3 linked regions of the Rattus norvegicus genome follow. The protein of the gene in region 3 purifies or fractionates together with the protein of the main gene of each other region. This does not show direct contact. Links are inferred from orthologs where the notes say so. Each region holds a gene or a part of one and is shown on either strand. Other genes may lie near its edges. The genes, in order: Npm1, Mavs and Eif2ak2.

Evidence for each region.
Region 1: the proteins of Eif2ak2 (region 3) and Npm1 purify together in Homo sapiens (affinity purification with western blotting; 3 studies listed by BioGRID and IntAct, with this or other methods). This does not show direct contact. The link is inferred for Rattus norvegicus from reciprocal best matches to the Homo sapiens genes EIF2AK2 and NPM1.
Region 2: the proteins of Eif2ak2 (region 3) and Mavs purify together in Homo sapiens (affinity purification with western blotting; 3 studies listed by BioGRID and IntAct, with this or other methods). This does not show direct contact. The link is inferred for Rattus norvegicus from reciprocal best matches to the Homo sapiens genes EIF2AK2 and MAVS.

Annotation. Positions count from the first base shown.
Region 1 is NC_086028.1:18,245,740-18,249,391, reverse strand, and holds part of Npm1 (nucleophosmin), read left to right. Parts: intron 1-487; coding exon 488-589; intron 590-1,352; coding exon of another isoform or gene 1,353-1,361; exon of another isoform or gene 1,362-1,675; intron 1,676-2,356; coding exon 2,357-2,431; intron 2,432-3,306; coding exon 3,307-3,345; 3' UTR 3,346-3,652. UniProt on the Homo sapiens protein: Involved in diverse cellular processes such as ribosome biogenesis, centrosome duplication, protein chaperoning, histone assembly, cell proliferation, and regulation of tumor suppressors p53/TP53 and ARF.
Region 2 is NC_086021.1:138,911,264-138,914,915, forward strand, and holds part of Mavs (mitochondrial antiviral-signaling protein), read left to right. Parts: intron 1-796; coding exon 797-966; intron 967-2,888; coding exon 2,889-3,042; intron 3,043-3,652.
Region 3 is NC_086024.1:21,954,528-21,958,179, forward strand, and holds part of Eif2ak2 (interferon-induced, double-stranded RNA-activated protein kinase), read left to right. Parts: intron 1-2,241; coding exon 2,242-2,378; intron 2,379-3,652.

The sequences.
Region 1 (3,652 bases), on a different chromosome or scaffold from region 3:
TTGTGAAGTGTGTCATGTACTGGGATGGACTACATGGCATCTGTAGTTGACTTTATTTTGTACACCAGTTGAATTCTGAGCTGTGTTGTGTGTGTATAACTTTCATGATCTAGGTGTATACTTGTAGAGGTCAAATAATTGTCAGGAGTTATTATTATAGGAGTTGGCCTATCAAGTTTGATTTTATCCTATCCTAACTTTGAAGCATCTCTCCCAACCCCTTTTTTAAATATGAGTACACTGTTGTCACTGTCTTCAGACAGTCTTAAGAGGGTATCAGATCCCATCACAGATGCTTGTGACTTGATTTTTTTTAAAGGATGACCTACTTGGTTCTCTGAGACTAGCTAGGAAGAATTACTACAATGCATCAATTTATATTAGCAACTTCTCTGTTTTATCTATAAAAGGAATTGTAAGGATAATAGAAATCCTTGTAATTACTATTTGTTAAGAACTGTACTAACAATTTTAAAAACTTTTCCAGGGTCAAGAGTCCTTCAAAAAACAGGAAAAAACTCCCAAAACACCCAAAGGACCTAGCTCTGTAGAAGACATTAAGGCAAAAATGCAAGCAAGTATAGAAAAAGTGAGTAAAAATTACCTTTAAATAGATTCGTCTTTCTCCCACTTTAAATTGTACTAATATGGGAATTCAGGTTAAAAAGTAGATTATAACAATAATCCTGTGCACTCAAAATTTGGAAGGGTGCACTCCAATCTTACAATGTCCTTTCTGGGGTTATGCTGTAGAACCAGCAGAGGGCGCTTGGTTTTCAGTAAAACTAAAAACAGCTGGAAAAGTAAGACACGAGTGTTTGGCTGCCTGAGATTATAGCTAAGGTGAAAAGGATCACCTTTAAGTATTTCACAACAATTTGAGTTATTTCTGTGCCTTCTGTACCAAAGCACACTCAGTCCATGACCTGAAATTTATGTGTGGCTACTAATAGGCTTTCATCTAGTCTTAGGTAGAATTTCTTTCTTGGCCATTTGGCTGGAACTAATACATTATTATATAAAGCATGTTTGTGTAGAAAATTGAATAATACACATGATTATTGGAAAATTAAAGATTCTCCATTATGATTCCAACATACTGAGTATACATGTGAAATGATAAGGAAATTGCCCAGTCCTGTCCTGGCCTCACATGGCTTCAGAAGTTTCTTCCTTTGCAACCACGAACGGATTGGAATTTAGCACTTGGCCAGCACATATATTTCTTATTTAAACTGTAAACTTAAGTTTCCTGGTGTTGCTGATTTATTTTTTATCCCTTGCATACACTGCTAAAATGATGCCCCTCCCCCCCATTTTAATGTGGTCCTATCTCCTTGGTTTAATTGCAGGCGCATTGAACATTCCTGGGCACTACTGGTAAATTAAGCCCAAAGATGGGGAAAGAGGAAAAGGAGAAACAAATATAGTACCATCAACAATCCAGACTGAAGTCTTCTATTTTAATCTCAATCCCCTTTCCTGATTGGCCATCCATTCCCCCTTGCAGGCTGGAAGCAATCGTTTTCCTAAAGCATTTTTCTTTTTCACTCGTGTGATGCAGAAAACTTGACTGCTTTTCTATACCACTTGTGCATATGCCTTAACTCTGACCATGTTTTAATTTTAACCTTTGTATCCTTAGCTGCTCGAAATAAATTTTTGAATGAACCAATAAGGATGTATGTGACAATATTTTTAAATTGTAGTGAATTATCTTCTAGGTGATGGAGGCAATTTAAGTACTCAAGATGAATCTGGAATTTGGAAGCCTTAGACTTGCTAAGTGCATAAAAATGGAAAAAACCTAAAATTTATAGAGAAGTGGACTTTATTTAGAATAGGGATAAATCTCTGTAGTGATAACTTTATGCTGGTTACAGTTGTACCTAGCTTGTAAGAGTTTTGGTGGCAAAACTGACATTGCTGATACTGTGATTCACTGCCTATATTCATAATTGGAAACATGCCAGGTCGGTGCAACAGTGAGGGTAGCATTTTAGAACCCTTTGATTGTGTGCTTTTTGGAACACTTTTATAAACAGTTTTGATTTAATTTGGTTTTTTGGTGGTAGGTGATGACACTAACTTATTATAATAGGCACCAAATTGCTGTATTTGCATGCTGGTAGAACCATACAGTTTTAAACTGGCAGTTTGGAAGGAATTGGACTTTAAGCAGTGAAAAACCATTCTTTCTGAGGTTTGGTCCTCGATGTTTTGTTTTTTTTTTTTTTTAATCAAATGGTAGTGTTGAGGGATAGTTTGTGTAATGGCATGCAAGTCTTTGGAAGTTTTCTAATTGTGTCTCACTTCTGTGCTTGTCCTTAATAATTAATGCTTTCTTCCTCAATAGGGTGGTTCTCTTCCCAAAGTGGAAGCCAAGTTCATTAATTATGTGAAGAATTGTTTCCGGATGACTGACCAGGAGGTAACTGAATTTTCTGTGGACATGACCAAATCTAAAATTTTCATTGTGATTTATTATGACTCTTACTTTTAGACTCTTAAGTTATTGGCTTCTTGTAAAAGGTTCCTAACCACAGACAGTACTTAAATACATGGAAAGAATTTAATTGGCAGACTGAGCAAATAATTTTTAGTGCACATTTTTTCCCCAGCTTTTTAAATAGTTGGTCAATTATCTCTTGGTTACTGAACTTAGTTTTACTCTTGGTAGTGTGTTGGCTAAGGAAATAGGCTGTGGCTTTTTATTTGCTCCATTTGGCTGCTTTACACAGTCTGATATTTGCTCTCTTGGGAGTGGTAGTGTCTTCTCCAGATAGTGAAGGGGGGGAGAACAATATTGGTAAAATCAAACTAGGATAGGTTAAAAAGCCTCATGCATGTGAGATAAATGGTATGGTTTATTGTGGTGGAGTCACTTGGGCCATGCAAGGGTGTGAATTTAAATTTTCTATTAGTTGTAAATAGGAAATATGGGTTTTGTTAGACCTTCTGTATGAACAGTTGATTTAAAGGGTTTCATCAGTCTGAGCTATAGGTGTCTATCCAAACTTCATTAAGAACAGGTTATGTCCCTTTGGGTTTCTCCAGGTTGTGTTCTTTTGCTTTGTAATACTTGCCTGGACTTTACTGTAAACTCAAATTCTGAGTCCCTAAATAGGGTTGACCCACACAGACAGGAGGCAGCATTGGCCATAAAGTCATGGCTAAGCCATTTAGTTAGGAGTCTCATTCATGGCTATGTTTGAGTTAAAATTCTGCATTTTCTCTTTATATGATGAAAACATTAACTTTAATTTTATAAAGTTAACATTTCTTTACCATTTTTCCTTTTTACAGGCTATTCAAGATCTCTGGCAGTGGAGGAAGTCTCTTTAAGAAAATGGTTTAAACAGTTTGAAATAATTCTGTCTTCATTTCTGTAATAGTTGCTATCTGGCTGTCCTTTTTATAATGCAAAGTGAGAACTTTCCCTACTGTGTTTGATAAATGTTGTCCAGGTTCAATTGCCAAGAATGTGTTGTCTAAAATGCCTGTTTAGTTTTCAAGGATGGAACTCCGCCCTTTACTTGGTTTTAAGTATGTATGGAATGTTATGATAGGACATAGTAGTAGTGGTGGTCAGATGTGGAAATGGTAGGGAGACAAATATACATGTGAAATAAACTCAGTATTTTAATAAAGT
Region 2 (3,652 bases), on a different chromosome or scaffold from region 3:
GGGGTGAGTGGCCACATCCCTCATGTGTGGCTGCACTTAGCTGGAGTTCCACATCTTCCCTATGCCCAGCACAAGGCACCTGCCATCGTGTTTGTGGCTCTGGTGTTTGTCTCCCTACCTGTTTCCATTCCTTCTGTTTCCACCTGCACAGAGTGTAGAGTACAGAGTCTACACCCAGTCACTTTGCCCTACTCGCCATTTCTCTTCCCTGCCCCAAGGTTTCTCTGAGAATATCCTGGTTTCTAATGATAACGGCCGAACGTCTGGTTCCTCTCAATGTCACTGCCAAGTCATGTGACCAGAGGGAGTTTAGTGTTTGGGCCTGAAGAGAAGATCCGGGAAGAAAAACCAAGCCAATCTTGAACACATCATGTTTGCTTTTGTTTCTCTTTTCTTCCCTTCTTTCCATGTTGGTCTTTTTGTTTGTGGAAGCTACGGTGCTCTCTCAAGAAAGAAATGGCTATGGTAGAGTCAGAGATGGCCATGGCAGGGGTCATTTGGGGATGACAGCTGTGAGGAAAAGGTCTTGGGACAGCAGAGAGTGAGCACTGAAAAGTCTGGCTGTGAAAGGCTGTGCCCCTCCTCACTCATTTTCCTTGCACCCTTTCCTGTCTTCCCCAGTTCTTCTTTCCCTCCTGTTCCCTCCCCAGTGATGGTTATCATGTCTAATAAATCCATCCCACATTGGGTCATGGAGTTACTGAAGGGAGACTAGATGCCCCAAAGCATCCAGGCTTCTTCTATTACCAAGTTACCTCTGATTCTTTCTGGAGATCACTCTGTCTTTGTACCTTAGGGGCCTCACTCCACTCCCTAGACCCATTGCAGTCACCAAGAATTCCTACCACGGTTTCCGAACCTTCTGCATTTGCAGCAGGCCACACCATCCCTGACAGTGGCTTCCAAGATAAACCAGGTTACCCTAAGCCTGTCCAGGACACCCAGCCACCAAAGTCCCCAGTAGAGGTAAGTCCTCATAATCTGTTTTAAGCTGCCTGCTTTTGTGTGCCTGTCTGCTCACTTCTGCCCACCCAGCCTTCCAGAGCCCCTTTCTTTTTTTTTTTTTTTTTTTTATTTTTTTTTTTTGTTGTTGTTGTTCTTTTTTTTTTTTTTTTTTTTTTTTTTTCGGAGCTGGGGACCGAACCCAGGGCCTTGCGCTTCCTAGGCAAGCGCTCTACCACTGAGCTAAATCCCCAACCCCCCAGAGCCCCTTTCTACCTCCTGAAAATCATGCCTCATTTCTGCTAAGAATGCTGGGGTTCCCTAACTAGCTACCTAACTGCTGGCTAGACCTGTGGCCCCTTAGTGTGCTGTTGAGGTCTTTGCAATGGTCATGTGATATGTTGAGCTGGGTAAAAAAGACTAGAGGGTAACCAGATTTGTATGTGAGAGAGGTGATATGAGGGCTCAAGAAGGGTGGGTAGTGACAGAGCTAATTATCAACAGTAAAATCAGGTATCAGGGGAAGATAACTAGTTCCACCGGGATGAAGTGAGTTAACAATGGGGTATAGAAGAAACCCTAGACCTAGACTATGGGTCTGAAGCCATAGGGTCTGTGCAGACTGCTGAAGAAAGGACAGTGGTTACAGACACATGGGTAGGGAACTTCAGCAGTGCCTGGTTTTTTGTTTTGTTTTGTTTTTTTAATGCACTTGAAGTCATCCTGGGGACTGGGCTGGAGAGATGGCTCAGTGGTTAAGAGCACTGACTGCTCTTCCAGAAGTCCTAAGTTCAATTCCCAGCAACCACATGGTGGCTCACAACCGTCTGTAATGGGTTTCAATGCCCTCTTCTGGTGTGTCTGAAGACAGCTACAGTGTACTCATATATAATAAATAAATAAATCTTTAGAAAACACAGTTGTCCTGGGAGGCTGGGAATAGAGCTTTCAGTTGCTGGGGTGCTTGTCTGGCATACACACGTGCCTGAGGTCAGTCTCCAGCTCCATATAAATTGGGCATGATGACACACACCTATACGCCTGCCACTCAGGAGAGAGAGGCAGGCGAATCAGAAGTTCATAGTCATCCTTAGTAAGTTCAAGGCTAGGGTGAGATACGTAAGGTCCTATCTCAAAACAAAACAAAAACAGCAACAACAAAACCAAATAGGTGGGGCTGGAGAGATGGCTCAGCGGTTAAGAGCACTGACTGTTCTTCCAGAGGTTCTGAGTTCAAATCCTAGCAACCACATGGTGGCTCACAACCATCTGTAATGAGGTCTGATGCCCTCTTCTGGTGTGTCTGAAGACAGCTACAGTGTACTTATATATAATAAATAAACAAATCTTTTAAAAAAAAAAAAACCAAATAGGTGGGCTGGAGAGATGGCTCAGTGGTTAAGAGCGCTGACTGCTCTTCCAAAGGTCCTGAGTTCAAATCCCAGCAACCACATGGTGGCTCACAACCATCTGTAGTAAGATCTGATGCCCTCTGGTGTGTCTGAAGACAGCTACAGTGTACTTATATGAAATAAATAAATTAATCTTAAAAAAAAAAAAGGGCTGGAGAGATGGCTCAGAGGTTAAGAGCACTGACTGCTCTTCCAGAGGTCCTGAGTTCAAATCCCAGCAACCACATGGTGGCTCACAACCATCTGTAATGAGATCTGATGCCCTCTTCTGGTGTGTCTGAAGACAGCTACAGTGTACTTATATATAATAAATAAATAAATCTTAAAAAAAAAAAAACCAAATAGGTACTAGGGATGGAGACTTACATTAGGCAAGTATAATCGATGAGCTTCAGCCTCATATGTGAAGGCTTCCTGTAGCCTGAAGCCAAGCAAAGGTTCCGAGGAGCTTGTGCTCTTGAGCCCCATAAATATATGCTGCCCTTTTTCAGCCCCAGGAGAAGCAATGGCTTTATGTTATTTCCTCTATTTCAGAATTCGGAGGAACCCCCACAGGCCAACTTTGGGGCCATTCCAAGGATGTCGGGTGACTCTTTGATATCCTCACCTAACCCACCGGCCCTCAGCCCTCAGCCCTCCAGAGAGCATCCCGAGCAAGAACCCGAACTGGGGGGCCCCTCCACAGCAAGTATGTATAGAGTGTGGTATGAGAGGGTCTCCTGGACCGCTCACATGAAGGTTAGGGTTACAGTTACCACTTGGCCTTCCTTAGATAGGAGGCAGGGTAGAAATAAAAGTGTGTGTGTGTGTGTGTGTGTGTGTGTGTGTGCTGTGTGCATACCTGTGTGTGTAGTAGTAGCAGCAGCAGCAGCAGCTTAAAATGCAGTCATTCATTAGCACATGGCTCAGCTGGGTAGGTCTTCTGATCTTGCTGATTTTGTGTCGGGTGTTCCCTGACATATACATAATGTTCTACTACATCCATTGGCTGGTACTTCCTCATTCTCTCTTCCTCTAGCACAAAAACCCAACTCACAGCATCTGGGTAAGGCTCTGGGTAAATAAAAGAGAGGCAGAGCTCTGAGCTTAGGCTCAGTAATAAGGCAAGAGGTCTTATTACTCCTGCTCTGTTCTGTGGTCAAAACAAATGATAAGGCCAGCCCAGATTCTGAGATTTTTTTTTTTACTAGATTCTGGTCAAATCACATTGGAGAGTGTGATTTTTGCCCTGTGGGTGTATAGTTTTTGTACCTTGCTGCATGTGGGAGAGAGCTAGGGCTATTTCTGCACTCAGGTAG
Region 3 (3,652 bases):
GTGTGTGTGTGTGTGTGTGTGTGTGTGTGTGTGTGTGTTCTCTCAGGGAGAAATTATGACTGTCAGGGTATGACCATTTGTTCAAAGCTTTACTTCCTTTTTTATTATCTGCATTTCTCCTGAGTGAGAAACACACCAGGAAATTTGTTGACAAAGCTGTGCACTTCTGAGCGCCAACTTACATGCTCTGAATCATGAGGAAAGATGAGACCGTTCAGCAGGAGATGGGCTGGGCTGACAAGGGCTAGGACAGGACCTTTCCACCTCAGGAGGCAAACAAAACAGAGAAAGCCGTGCAAGACCTGCTAGGGAGAATGACTTTCCTTGAGGGAGATGACAGAGAGCCAACATACTGGACATGGCATCCCTGAAGGCGCAAACAGCATAAATGACACATAAACCAACAACAGTAAATGTCATAAACCAACAACAATAAAACAGACCCATTTGGGGGGGCTGGAGAGATGGCTCAGCGGTTAAGAGCACTGACTGCTCTTCCAGAGGTCCTGAGTTCAATTCCCAGCAACAACGTGGTGGTTCACAACCATCTGTCATGGGTTCTGATAGTCTCTTCTGGTGAGTCTGAAGACAGTGACAGTGTACTCAGATCCATAAAATTAATAAATCTTTAAAAAAAAAACAAAAACAAAACAGACTCTTTTGGTCTCTGGGGAGGTGGGAGAGGTGTATGGTTCTGTGTGCTTAGCATGAGCAAGACCCTGGGTACAATTCTCTAACATCAAATAAACAAAGCTATCCAAGATATTTGAGCAGAAAGTTTTTATGAAATAAAGGCACGATATTAGACAAGATTAATTTCATCAATAGAAGGAAATACAGAAGTACCATGAGCGACACTGATCCTTATGAAAGCACTGATTGGAGGGAAGACAGGTGGGAGCGGGATTTTAAAATCACGGAGGCAGATGATAAAAAGTTTTGTGTTTTTCTATGACGATGTCAAAACCAGGCGGCTGGAGCCGTGGGAGCAGAATGAGACACGAAGTGTGATTCATGCGTGAGATGAGAAAGTTTTACCTTCCAACTTACTCTCGCATAATCGTACTCGAAATGCCATTCTTACAATCAATTCAAAGTAGCTAAGCGAAACCACCAATTCTCTTATTATTAAGCTAGGAAAAAATTAGTCAAAAGTTTAGATAAATAGGCTAGCTTTCTTCTCTCAAAGTCGAAGAATGACAATAATAACAATGATGGGAATTTGTGTAAAAGAACACAATAATAAAAATCAATGAAGCGAATTACCAAATCTAGCCCTTTGGTAAGATTAGTGAGGAGAAACTTTGGACCAACCCTGATCTGCTGGAAACAGTGAGGGTTGAGATCATAATAATGTTGCTTCTGCGTGTGTGTCTTTTCCATCAAGCTGAGACCAACAGAGCATGTTAGAAAGTGTTAAATACTTTTTTTTCCCCATGGAAGAAGAAGGGGGATGTGTGGCTAGAAAGGGCTCAGATGTCCGGAGTATATACGGCTCTTACCGAGGACTAGAGTTAGATTCTCAGCGTGTTGGGGGCGCTCAACCAACCACCTGTAACCCAGCGCTCTTCCGGCCTCCTCAGGCAGCCCTATGCTGTAGGCAGGCACACGCATATACATACATTTTAAGATAAAGATAATAAAATAAAACTTTAGGCCCGTGTGTTCTGTGCTGGTAAGGCAGTCTGGCCTCAGGCTCTCTGTGTAGCTCAGGTTGGCCCCAGGCTTTCTTTGTAGCTTGGGCTAGCCTCAGGATTGCTATATGGCTCAAGCTGGCCTTGATCATTTTGCCTGACTCCCAAGGGCTGGGATAACAGATTGCTCACCTGGCTTTTCTTAATGAAGCTATAAAAGGAAACTGGATGACTTGACAAATAGCATATTTATAGATGGCTTGGGAAGTACATTTTAAGTGTGTGTGCCATTCCAAAAAAAGAAAAAAAGAGAAAAGAAGGGGGGGTGGTGGCGTGGAAGGTGGTAGTTATCTGAATTCAGCTATGCATATTTCAAAACATGTTATATACCAAAAAATATGTGCATTTTTAATGTGCTATTTAGGATTTTTTAAATTAAAAGACTTTATTTTTGCAGATTTTTTTTTTACTGATAGACATATAGTTCATTTTTAAAAAGAACCTATAACTAGGAAATTCATAACATGTAAGTTGTGGTCGTTACTTATTTGGTAATTTCCTATGATAATTCATGATTTGGATTTACATATCTTTTTTTTCTTTGTAGGTGGATAGTCACACGGATGCTTCTGAACAAGGTTTAATAGAGGGGAACTACATTGGCCTTGTCAATTCTTTTGCCCAGAAGGAAAATCTGCCTGTAAATTTTGAACTGTGTGACCCCGACTCCCAATTGCCTCACAGGTGAGACTTCTACTGTTTCACTGTATGTGAGCCAAGAAACGGAAGCATTTCCTACACAGTTTCCCAGAAATATTTGCTCCTTTTCTATACAATCATTATGGGAGGTTTTAAGTAATTTATAAACATCTCTTTAATTAAAATATCCAATTCCAGGGCTGGGGATTTAGCTCAGTGGTAGAGCGCTTGCCTAGGAAGCGCAAGGCCCTGGGTTCGGTCCCCAGCTCCGAAAAAAAAAAATAAATTTGAAAATTAAAAAAAAATTCCCGAGGCTATAGGGTCTATTGCAATCAAACTTGGCTGCTTTTTCCCCATGGGTTTACTTTCTGAAATTTCAGTTACCTTTGGTCAACTAGATGGTGAGCTTGGCATAGAAAGCTATCTTGAGAAGAAGACCACTTTCGCAAACCTAGACGTGGGGCGTACTGCACTAGTAGTTCTATTTTATTATTGGCTGTTAATCTTTTACTATGCCTAGGTTGTGAGGTAAACTTTATCATAGGAATGTACAAGAACAATGCGTATTTCTAGGGTTCGATATAATCCATGGTTTCCGTCATCCAGTAGCCCCCGTCGATAAGAGGGGACTGCTGGTTTTTTTTTGAGGTGCACATGAACAATCGTTCCGCTAAACTTTTAAGAGTTCAGGACGCCTATGCATGAGGCATGCAGAGTTCTTCCCTTCCCTGAGGCCGAGGTAGCTGCAACTGCAACTGTGAGAACCATTCTGTCTGTGCATGGAATGACTACCAGTTTCAGTCAGAGAGCGAGTGGCTTGTCTGAGTGTCTGCTCTCCACACTTCAGTAGATAGGCAGATAGTGTGGATCCTCAGGATTGGACTTAGTCCTACTGTGTGAAGAGAGCAGCTGTGAGGGACATGCTGTGTGAACGAGGGTTAGAATCCTGAACACATTGTCAATGAGCTGCCCTCCCCAAAGGGCACAGCACTGTACCCTCGTGGCTTAGCCTCCGTGAGCCCCTTTCTACCAACTTGTTTTCTTTCCTATCTGAGCAGCTCTGGAAAAGGCGCTGGATCTCTCCCTCTCCTCTTCCCTCTACAACTTTTTATCTGAAACCGAAAAGATTTCATTTGTCTGTTGTTAGTTTGTTTTTCAATCATCACTTGGTGTTTTGCCGTCCGATCTTTCAATGAAGCAAGAAAGGATTAGATGTTACCTGGAAAACGTAAACAAGAATGTCCTGGTTATTCATATAGATTGGCGGCCATTTCAGTGAGGTTTAAATTATGTGAGGTAGGGAATATAAATCAAGGTTA